Linked DNA regions of Nothobranchius furzeri. The protein of the gene in region 3 binds, or shares a complex with, the protein of the main gene of each other region. Links are inferred from orthologs where the notes say so. Each region holds a gene or a part of one and is shown on either strand. Other genes may lie near its edges.

Evidence for each region.
Region 1: ppp4r1l (region 3) and ppp4r4 share a complex: the UniProt entries of both Homo sapiens proteins name them as parts of the PP4 complex. The link is inferred for Nothobranchius furzeri from reciprocal best matches to the Homo sapiens genes PPP4R1 and PPP4R4.
Region 2: ppp4r1l (region 3) and serine/threonine-protein phosphatase 4 catalytic subunit B share a complex: the UniProt entries of both Homo sapiens proteins name them as parts of the PP4 complex. The link is inferred for Nothobranchius furzeri from reciprocal best matches to the Homo sapiens genes PPP4R1 and PPP4C.

What each region holds. Positions count from the first base shown.
Region 1 is NC_091742.1:16,618,945-16,622,599, forward strand, and holds part of ppp4r4 (serine/threonine-protein phosphatase 4 regulatory subunit 4), read right to left. Parts: coding exon 3,635-3,655; intron 3,565-3,634; coding exon 3,443-3,564; intron 3,373-3,442; coding exon 3,250-3,372; intron 3,081-3,249; coding exon 2,941-3,080; intron 2,864-2,940; coding exon 2,744-2,863; intron 2,674-2,743; coding exon 2,596-2,673; intron 2,524-2,595; coding exon 2,440-2,523; intron 2,326-2,439; coding exon 2,152-2,325; intron 2,069-2,151; coding exon 1,963-2,068; intron 1,872-1,962; coding exon 1,724-1,871; intron 1,616-1,723; coding exon 1,471-1,615; intron 1,392-1,470; coding exon 1,353-1,391; intron 1,279-1,352; coding exon 1,207-1,278; intron 1,145-1,206; coding exon 1,081-1,144; intron 1,007-1,080; coding exon 932-1,006; intron 1-931. UniProt on the Homo sapiens protein: Putative regulatory subunit of serine/threonine-protein phosphatase 4.
Region 2 is NC_091758.1:11,563,370-11,567,024, forward strand, and holds part of serine/threonine-protein phosphatase 4 catalytic subunit B, read left to right. Parts: intron 1-1,926; coding exon 1,927-2,028; intron 2,029-2,121; coding exon 2,122-2,295; intron 2,296-2,388; coding exon 2,389-2,515; intron 2,516-2,703; coding exon 2,704-2,893; intron 2,894-3,655. UniProt on the Homo sapiens protein: Protein phosphatase that is involved in many processes such as microtubule organization at centrosomes, maturation of spliceosomal snRNPs, apoptosis, DNA repair, tumor necrosis factor (TNF)-alpha signaling, activation of c-Jun N-terminal kinase MAPK8, regulation of histone acetylation, DNA damage checkpoint signaling, NF-kappa-B activation and cell migration.
Region 3 is NC_091743.1:58,792,483-58,795,346, reverse strand, and holds the end of ppp4r1l (serine/threonine-protein phosphatase 4 regulatory subunit 1), read right to left. Parts: coding exon 2,831-2,864; intron 2,689-2,830; coding exon 2,547-2,688; intron 2,430-2,546; coding exon 2,284-2,429; 3' UTR 516-2,283; downstream 1-515. UniProt on the Homo sapiens protein: Regulatory subunit of serine/threonine-protein phosphatase 4. May play a role in regulation of cell division in renal glomeruli. The PPP4C-PPP4R1 PP4 complex may play a role in dephosphorylation and regulation of HDAC3.

The DNA.
Region 1 (3,655 bases), on a different chromosome or scaffold from region 3:
GTTGTCATGATCGTCATCATCATCATCACCATCATCGTCATTATCTCATCATCATTATCATCATCACCACCACCACTATCACCATCATCGTCGTGACCATCATCATCATCACCACCACCACCATCATCATCACCACCATCATCGTCACCACCATCATCGTCACCATCACCATAGTCATCACAGTCGTCACCATCATCATCATCATCATCGTCATCATCACCATCACCACCATTATCGTCATCATCATCATCATCGTCACCATCATCATCATCATCATCACCGACATCATCGTCACCACCATCATCGTCACCATCACCATAGTCATCACAGTCGTCATCACCATCATCATCATCATCGTCATCATCACCATCACCACCATTATCGTCATCATCATCATCATCGTCACCATCATCATCATCATCACCGACATCATCGTCACCACCATCATCGTCACCATCACCATAGTCATCACAGTCGTCATCATCATCATCATCACCATCATCATCATCATCGTCACCATCATCATCATCATCATCACCGACATCATCATCATCATCACCATCATCACGGTCTGTATTTGTATAGCACCTACTTAGAGTTATACAACCTCCCAAGGCGCTTAACGCCACAATCAGTCATTCACCCATTCACATCCTGGTGGCGATGAGCTACATTGTAGCCACAGCTGCCCTGGGGCGCTCTGACAGAGGCGAAGCTAAACACAGGTGCCGCCGGTTCCTCCGACCACCACCGGCAGGCTAGGTGGGTTAAGCGTCTTGCCCAAAGACACAACAGCAACATTTTCTGGTCAGAGCCGGGATGGAACCTGCAACCTTCTGATTACTGGACAACCCGCTTTACCTCCTGAGCTACTGCTGTCCCATCACCACTATCATCATCATCTTCATCACCATGATCATAATTGTCTTACTGGAGGACGAGGCTGATGTAGACGAGGACATGGACATGGATTTGGTGATGGACAGACTGGTCTTATTGTCTCTTCCTGCCAAAGACAATCATTGATGTAACTGAAGTTTCAAACATCTGAGATTTTGTTACCACAAAGTTCTAGCTCACGTTTTCTCTCTGTGTGATTATTGGGGATCCGTATCCCTTCGTTTTGCTGCCGCTCCAGATGTTCCTGGTGAACGACACATCTGTCATAAGGATTCGGGCAGCACTAGCTAGAATTCTGAGACTTACCATCTCCAGGAGCAGCATTTCCTCCTTTTCTTTCTTCTGGTCCAGGAAGTCCCAGTCATGTCTCTTATGGAACTGCAGGCAGATAGGGCACATCAATCATCACACATATATTCACTATTCTGGTGTTCTCTGATCCGGTTTCTTACGGGCTCGGTCAGGTCCAGTTTGTCCAGTTCCAACACCGTCTGAAAGATTGGAGGAGTTTAGTTAAACACCAGACGTGTTACAAGTTCCCAGTATGGACTGGTCCAAGGTTGGAGTTACCTTTCGAATTGTTGCCACCACATCTTTATCTTTTTCTTCGCAGAGGAACTTCTGGACACACAAGTCGAGTTTCTGCAGCAGCAGTTTGTCCGCTGGCAGGCGGAGAGAAGACCGCAGCTGTGGCAGCAGCTGACAGAGCTTATACCTGACAAGAGGAACAGACGACCCAGTCCAAAGGGGAAAATTCAAATACACACTGGCTTTAACTCTGGGGATCTTTCAGATCCGTGTGGGATAGAAGTGAGTCCTCTACCTTACATTGGCGACTGGGTCATGCACAAGCTCTAGCGCCGGGATCACAAGGTGCTTGCTGAAATATTTCCGAGAGAAAACTTCAGCGGCCACTTCACAAACATCGAGAAACCTGAGCCGGTTCCAGTAGCTGTGACCCTGTGCCAGATCTAAGGTCAGAAAAATACAGATCTCAGCTGATGTTCTGGAACGTCTGACTTAACATACCAGAAGAGTGGTATGCAGAAGGACCGCTCTGACCTCGGAACAGTCGCTCCATCATCTCCTGCCGCTGTTCCTGTTTGCGATTGTAGCGCAGAAACGTGCAGAATGTCCGCGCAGCCTCCTTCTGCACCGGCAACACTTTCTACAGCCGAGGAGAAGCAGAGTAGAGTTACCTGTGTATCACCGGGGTTACCTGAGATATCACGCGAGGCAGAGGATGTTCACGTTGGTTGTGAGGATGATGAAGATTCGAGGGCAGAGGCTCTGGTGCAGCAGTTGTCCCGGCAGAAGTCTTGCCAGACACCTGTAACGCTGGAGCAGTTTCTCATGAAGCCTCCAACGTAGAGAAGATCCGACCTTCTGCTCCGCCGACAGCAGAGCCGACAGAAGCTCAGAGAGCTGTGGAGAACCGGGAACCAGAAGACAAGAGAAACATCCCAGGGAACCATCATAGGACAGAGGGGGTGGACCATGAGCCATGAACATGACTTGGATCAGTTTGGGTTTTCTCACCTTGTTGTCCAGCGTGAGATTCTCTCCACGAGACAGAACCACCTCAAGAGTTTCATCTAGCTGATTGCTCAGAGCATCCAAAACCTCAACAGCAGAAACAGCAGTCAGAACCGACCCAGTTCCACCAATCAATGAATCATGAGAGCAGCCTCTCACCTCCAGAGCTTCATCTTGCAGCAGCGACAGAAGCTCTTTGTGGACCAGGTAGACATTCGATCCGAGCAGCTTCACCACCTAAGAAAAGCAGTCATGTAATCTAACAACAGACAACCAATCACAGAAGGACAGGAGTGATGTTTCTCACCTGGTGGAAGCTGGAAGCAGCACTTTGTCGGACGCTGACCTCTGGGTCGCTGCAGAGACTAGAGAAAGGCAGGTAGAGGTCGGACAGGAAGTGGATGGATTCCACAAACACCACCATGGCCTGGATGAGCAGAACAGAGAAGAAACTCAGCAGCTGAAGGACCTGAGAACGGTACGGTTTGGTGAAGGCATGAGTACCGGCAGGTTGTAGCAGCAGTTAGAGCGGATCAGAGCAGACTTGGTGCCATCTGCTGGGTTCCCTTCAGTTGGAAGTCCAGAGACACACAAAACACGAAACTTCTGCAGCAAGACACACTTCTGCTCATCTGACAGGAAACCTGAAAAACAACAACCTCACTTAGAACTCGGGTTCTGATGCAGAAGCCCCCGAGCCCAGTCTCAGCCAGCCTTTACTGCTTCTCTAAGCCTAAAGCAGAACCAAACCCCTTTTGGTTTGATGGTCACCTGGGTCCAGAGGTTCTGTGGAACACCAGCAGTGAATCTCACCTGCTAGTCCACTGCAAAGCTTTCCAAACTGGAATGACAAGGACAACATGACAGCTTCATCCACTTGCGATGATCCGTCGCACACTGCCATCACCATGGGAACCAGAACATTGAGTCGGTCCTCTGAGGAAGAGGCAGGACTTCAGCATGAGCACTACCAGAAACAAAGAGTTCTGATTCTGCCCAGACTCACCGCTGTCCAACATCTCCATCAGGTTGATGATGCTGTCAAAAGCAGCCACTCGGACGCTGCTCTCCTCATCTCCAGCCAGCTCCGCCAGCTCAGGAAGAACTTTGGTTCTAGTGTCGTCCACCCTGAAGAACAGACCCAGCCCATTGAGTCAGAACATCAGAGAAAGTGTGCACGTGTTGGCTTCATGTTTACCCAACGGCTCTGGCTATGATC
Region 2 (3,655 bases), on a different chromosome or scaffold from region 3:
ACTGTTTTTAATATAAATCTGACTCACAACTAAGGTCCCACATTCGTTACAGTTATGAACAACAAGTAAAGAGGGAGTGGGATGACCGCTGGAATGTCCGTCAGATTCAAAACCGGTTGCACAGCAGCCCGTCTGACATCAAATACACAGCTCTGCTTGTGATTGCACGCTCATAAGTGCATTCTGGAGGCCACGGTTTTTAAAAACACCAGTTTTCTCGTATTTAACTAAACAATTACACAGACTGTTCCTTATTTACTAGACAAATAAGGAGTCAGACGCAGCAGGAGCGTTATGACCGACTGACCTGTTGCTGGCCTCGGTTCAGGTTGCTGCACCATGTTCTGCCGGGCTCGGTGCTTTGATGTGAGGCTTGTGTTCCGGGAATGAAATAAGAATAAAATGCTCCCAAACTGCTAACCACTCCATGATTGAGCACAGTTGTTGGGTCATGTGACGAGCTCATTTAGTCTAACATATTGTGATAGCAGAAGGACTTGAAGCAGTTAACCTGGCAAACTATTTTACCTGGTTACAACATTAACGGCTATTAACCGTTTAACTAAGTACATCCCTGGTTCATAGAGCACGGGCAAAGGTCTGTGTGTGTCGGGGTGGTTTAAGGTTAACTGACCATTAAAGCTTCTTTCTGGAGTATTTCTCTTATCCGATGGCACCATCTACAAGCTTATCACACAAAATCGCTGTTCCTCTGTTTTTTTAAGCTTCACGTTCCTGTTCATATATGTGCTTCTGTAGCCGACAAACGGCTAAAACACGTTGTTTTCAATTCAAAAATACTTTATTAATCCCAAAGGGAAATTGATTGCTGTAGTAGCTCAGAATAATAATAATAATAATCAAGTCATCAAAGAGTTATTGTATATTACAATGGCTGTTGGCAGGAAGGATCTCCAGTAGCGGTCAGTGTTGCAGCCAAACTGAAGAAGCCTCTGACTGAAGACACTCTTCCGTTGTCGGACAGTCTTGTGAAGAGAATTATTTTACGAGTATTATTGTCATGTTGTGTTTTCATATATTTATATTTTAGAGACTAACTTGTCCGTGAAAAGTTCATGAACTCAGCATCGGCCGAGGTATTCCTTAAATGTGAAGCGTCTAAGCGGTAGTCTAATGCTATTGGTTAGTTCTGGCCGGCGCTCAGTTTCCTACTGCACGGAGCTCTGCGGGGCAGGGGGCGTGCTTGGCAAAAAAAAAAAAGATGTATCGCTTATATTATATCACAGTACATGATGAGATCATCACTTCTACGGATTTCAGAAAAATCATTCATTGTTTCTGAAAGGGGAAAACTCCGGAAAGCTGCTTTAAGCGTTAAAGGTGTCAATAACTGGTTAAAGAAATTGTAGAAAACGTGCATCCCCTTTTAATACCCAAGAATTGAAGTTTTACAGTATTCTGTGTTTTAACGTTACTGTTGGCCAATAAGGCGAGATGTTTCTATCGTAATATTGAGCCTTTATTTTTGGTCCACCACGCCTCAGACAAACTCCCTGTGAGACTGTTTTCACACAGAAAACGAGGCTGCATTATTGAAGCTGTCAATGGAAATGCTGCTTGGGATTTGTGTGTGTGTGTGTGTGTGTGTGTGTGTGTGTGTGTGTGTGTGTGTGTGTGTGTGTGTGTGTGTGTGTGTGTGTGTGTGTGTGTGTGTGTGTGTGTGTGTGTGTGTGTGTGTGTGTGTGTGTGTGTGTGTGTGTGTGTGTGTGTGTGTGTGTGTGTGTGTGTGTGTGTGTGTGTGTGTGTGTGTGTGTGTGTGTGTGTGTGTGTGTGTGTGTGTGTGTGTGTGTGTGTGTGTTAGTTTGGAAAAGCGATGCGACATGGGGTCACTGCCGACTTAGCCTATGTAATAGCCACAGCATGAACTGTTGAAACCAATAAACTAGATAAAACCTTTCCTGGCAGGTTGGTGGCGATGTTCCAGAGACTAACTACCTCTTCATGGGTGACTTTGTGGATCGAGGCTTCTACAGTGTGGAGACTTTTCTTCTGCTTCTAGCTCTTAAGGTAATTCTGGTCTTTGGTTTGTTTTTCACTCTTTATGACATTCTTAGTTCAAGTCATTTTCATTCATCTTTTGACCCTTGTTTGGCACCTCAGGTGAGGTATCCAGACAGGATAACTCTAATCCGGGGAAACCACGAGTCTCGACAAATTACCCAGGTCTATGGCTTCTACGACGAGTGTCTTCGCAAGTATGGCTCAGTCACCGTTTGGAGATACTGCACTGAGATATTTGACTATTTGTCCCTGTCTGCTATCATTGATGGCAAGGTGAGATATGGACGAGTTATTTAAATTTTCTGCATCTTTTTGTATTATTTTGGGTGTCGGTCTCTAAAGTTTTGTGTTTTCTGTGCATCTCAGATCTTCTGCGTGCACGGTGGTTTGTCTCCCTCAATCCAAACATTAGACCAGATCAGGACCATTGACAGAAAGCAGGAAGTGCCCCACGACGGACCCATGTGTGACCTTTTGTGGTCAGACCCTGAAGGTATCTGCAGGCTTTTGCTCTCTGAATAAATAGTGTGAGAGTGGCTTAGGGATGAGGAGTTTGCCCTGTAACTGGTGGGTTGCTGGTTTGAACCCAGGCTCTGTCTGCATGATAAACACTCATGTTGGTGTTACAACTGAACATACAACAGTAAGTCTTCGTGATCCTATGTTTCCTGTTTCTGTCAGACACCACAGGGTGGGGCGTGAGTCCCAGAGGGGCTGGCTACTTGTTTGGGAGTGACGTGGTGGCGCAGTTCAATGCTGCCAATGATATTCACATGATTTGTCGAGCACACCAGCTGGTGATGGAGGGCTACAAGTGGCACTTCAACGAGACGGTGCTCACTGTGTGGTCTGCACCCAACTACTGCTACAGGTGGGTAGCCAGGTTACATTGCATTAGTCGTTCCACTAGCAGAGGATGTAGATTACAGCACACAGTGGGAAAAACAATAACCTGCTGTTTGTCCTTCAGCTGTTTTCACACTTAAAGCAACATATAAACTTCCTCGCTTTTCATTCCTTCTGATTAAAAGCTGAATTAAAACCCAGCTGCAGCCTGCGGTAGCTAGCGCTTTCCCCAAAAAGCTGTCCCTGCTAAGAAGCCGCACAGCTCTGTATCTCCCGTTGCTGCGTGTGAGGTTCTTTAACCTTACCAGGTTTGGGTCCACTTCACTAAATGCGATGGCTAGGAATGGGAACCTTTGACCTTAAAATCAATATGGTACAAACTCCCAGTACCTACTACTGGTACTTAACAGTACCAGTTTTCTATACTTTTGAGTGTTTAATAATTATTAAAATCGCTTTTTTATTAAATATATATATTATTTTCCCCATATATAGCCATATTTGATGAATAACATACAACAGTTTGTATTTTATCATCGTAGTGTTGTACAAAATTCTTCAACATGAAAACTTTTAACAAGTTACTAAATGACGCAAAAATAAAACCAGCTCCATGGACCCTGATCCTCTCCTCCGCCCTCTGGAATAACTCTGATGAGGAGACCGTGTGTTATAAACTACAAATGAAACTAAAACACACTCCGATACCATACAACAGTTTGTATTTTAATATTGTGGTGTTTCACAAACTAAACCAGCTCCGTGTACTCCTCTTCTTTCTCCTCTG
Region 3 (2,864 bases):
GCTCAGAGGAGGGGGAGCATAAACCCCCACCTCCACTTACTGTAAACACTATAAACACAAAAATCCATGTTTTTCTTTCTTTTGAATCCGACTTGAAAATCTAAACATGTATGACATTCTTAAAATGCTTATATTTAAAATTTGACATGTAAAATCTCCCATAAAGATTATTTTTCACGTATTAAATTGTCTTTTGACAACATTCTGAGAAATTTGTAGCCAGAGTGTAGTAAATCTTTCTTAGATGGGACAGCTGCTGCTGGCTGCAGTGTATTTAGCATCCATTTTTGTCTATTAAAAACCAGGGCTTGTCACACAGTAAAACATGCTGGAGTTCCTGAGTATCATTCAGGACACATTTTCCTTTTATACTAGGTCTACAAGATGAAAATATAGAAAATTTGTTTGTTTTTAGAAACACGTAATTTGTATTTTATGTTTTTCTTTTTTGACATCTTAACTAAAGTTATCTGAACCCAACAGCTTCATCACCACCAGATGAAACATCGCACACACTTATTTCCATCATTTTAATTACAGAATACTAAAAATAACATTACATAAAATGTCTTATTAAAAGAAACCATTGAATATTACAAAGATTGCAAATTTTGTAAAGTTAGGATATAAAATCTTTGAGCTGTGGTGCATAATTGAAAAAGAAAAAAAAATCCATAAAATGTATATATTAACTGTTCTACTACATAAAAAATGAGATGGACACACATTGCAGACAGACGAGATGAGCCATTACTGCGGCGAGCTCTCCTTTCTAAGGAAGAAAGACTTGAGATGCACAGCAGCACACACCACAATCAGCTCACGTCCTCAAATTATGCTCATGAGAGGGGAGGACAAAAAAAAAAGGGGGGGGGGGGGGCATTTACAACAAATGAGCTTGAGACTAGAGAAACAAAAGTGACTTGGTGACAGCTCCCAGTATTCTCACACTCACACGCACACACACACACACAACTGGCCTTATTCATTAACACACTTTTTTTCCTCTCCACAGGTTTAAGCTATACAAAAAAGTGAAACAAATCTGATTTATACTCAAAGCTGTTCCACCAAGACGGGGAATCTTTCAGCCTCCCAACAGCCCCTACTATGTTCTACTGTACAAATGGTCAGCCAGATCCACTGAAAGCACCCGTGGCCACGATGTGACAGAATGATATCAACATTAAAGAAGTGGTAGAAACGATACACAGCAGTAGGGATGGAGGGGGAACATGCATTATCCAACAGTGTGCTTGCTTTCTTCCTCCTCTCAGAGTTTGGAATCACCCTGTGTCAGTTCATCATGAGCCCTTGTGTTTTTTTCTTCCCAAACACCACAGAATCATGTCAGAAAATAACAACCAAAAAAAAAAAGCTTTAAAAAGTCACCGTCTGAGGACATTCAGAGCCTGTGTGATCACAGTTGTCTCTCCACGTGTGCGACGCACTGGCCGGTCATGTCCAAACAGAGGTATTTTATCAGTCTCCCGTCACCTGGGAGACGCACTGCGTCACATTGTTTTGGGTTATCAGACACAGACGGGGGAAGCAAAAGTTTGTTAGGTTTCAAAACATCAAAGAGTAACAGAATCATCGTTCTTACTGTGCAGCAGCAGTGGAGTTTTTTTGTGTGTGGCCCATAAAGATCAGGTGAGGGGAAAAGACAAGAGGACGTCTCAGACGACAACATGTCTCAGAGACGAGTGACCAGCAGAGCTACTCGTTTTTGGCTGGTCTGATTTTTTCTCCACGCTGGCTCCAGCAGTGTGAGCTTAATAATGCTGTTTAGGTTTGGAGTCCCCCTGAGTTAGTGTACGTGCCTAGTCAGGCTTTGTTTGTTAAGAAACCCACAAAAAAGAAAAATTAAGAAAAAATATCTTTTAATATCCATTACCAAGCTTAGTATGAGCTTTGGAGAGCAAGTCTGTGGCGGGGTGGGTGTTAGTTGGAGGGCGGGGGGCAGAGATCGGTCTGAGCTAAGGCAGCCATCAGAGTCGAGCTCGTGTTCCGTTAACTTTGTAGAAAAATTGCTTGTTTCTGTTGTATTAATGTGCGCTTTGTGTTGCCCAACCAGAGACGGGGGGTGTGTTGCAGGAAAATGCTTAAAAACAAACTTCTGGCATGATTCCCAAAGAGGTGGGGGGGGGGGTCTGTCTGGAAGGCGAGGGGTTGGAGTGGGTCTGGTTGGGTGCTGGTGTCGAAGGTTAAGCTGACTGTGCATCAGTCAGTCAGACAGGTAAGACAGGCAGGTGAGCTGTGATGGGGTTTTAGGCGGCGAGGCTAAATCAAAGGAGTCGTGTCCATTAAGCCTTTGTTTGGGTCCAAGCTGGCAAAGAACCTCACGTCGCGGTCCTTGTCAGACTGCAGAGTCATCACTGTCTCTTCAAGCTCGTCGGAGTAGGCACAGCCCGGCTCCTTGAAGTAAGCTGGAAGGAAGCAAACGGGAACTTCGTAACAAACATTATCCTCTTTTGCTTGTGCAATTCTGAGCTGAGGATGTTTTACAAGCTGCATGTCCCACACCGGGTCTATTTATAGATCACCTTTCTCCATGACGCTCTGTCGTAAAGCCTTGGCCACCAAAACTCGGACGTTAGCCACCGGATCAGAGGAGAGGCTGAGGAGGCTGGGCAACAGATGCTGGCTGAACTGCTCCATGGGCATGCAGTCCTCCTCAACCACGGCCTGCAGGGAGAACCACAAAACTATCAAACTCAGACAACTAGTGGAGGGGGGGGGGGGTCAACTATTGTAACCACAGGAGAACATTTGTCAGATCAGTCAGAGAAAATGGTGCTTCCCCACTTCTCCCATTAGATCCACAGACCTGGCAGATGAAAGCAAAGGCCTGCCTCCCCACC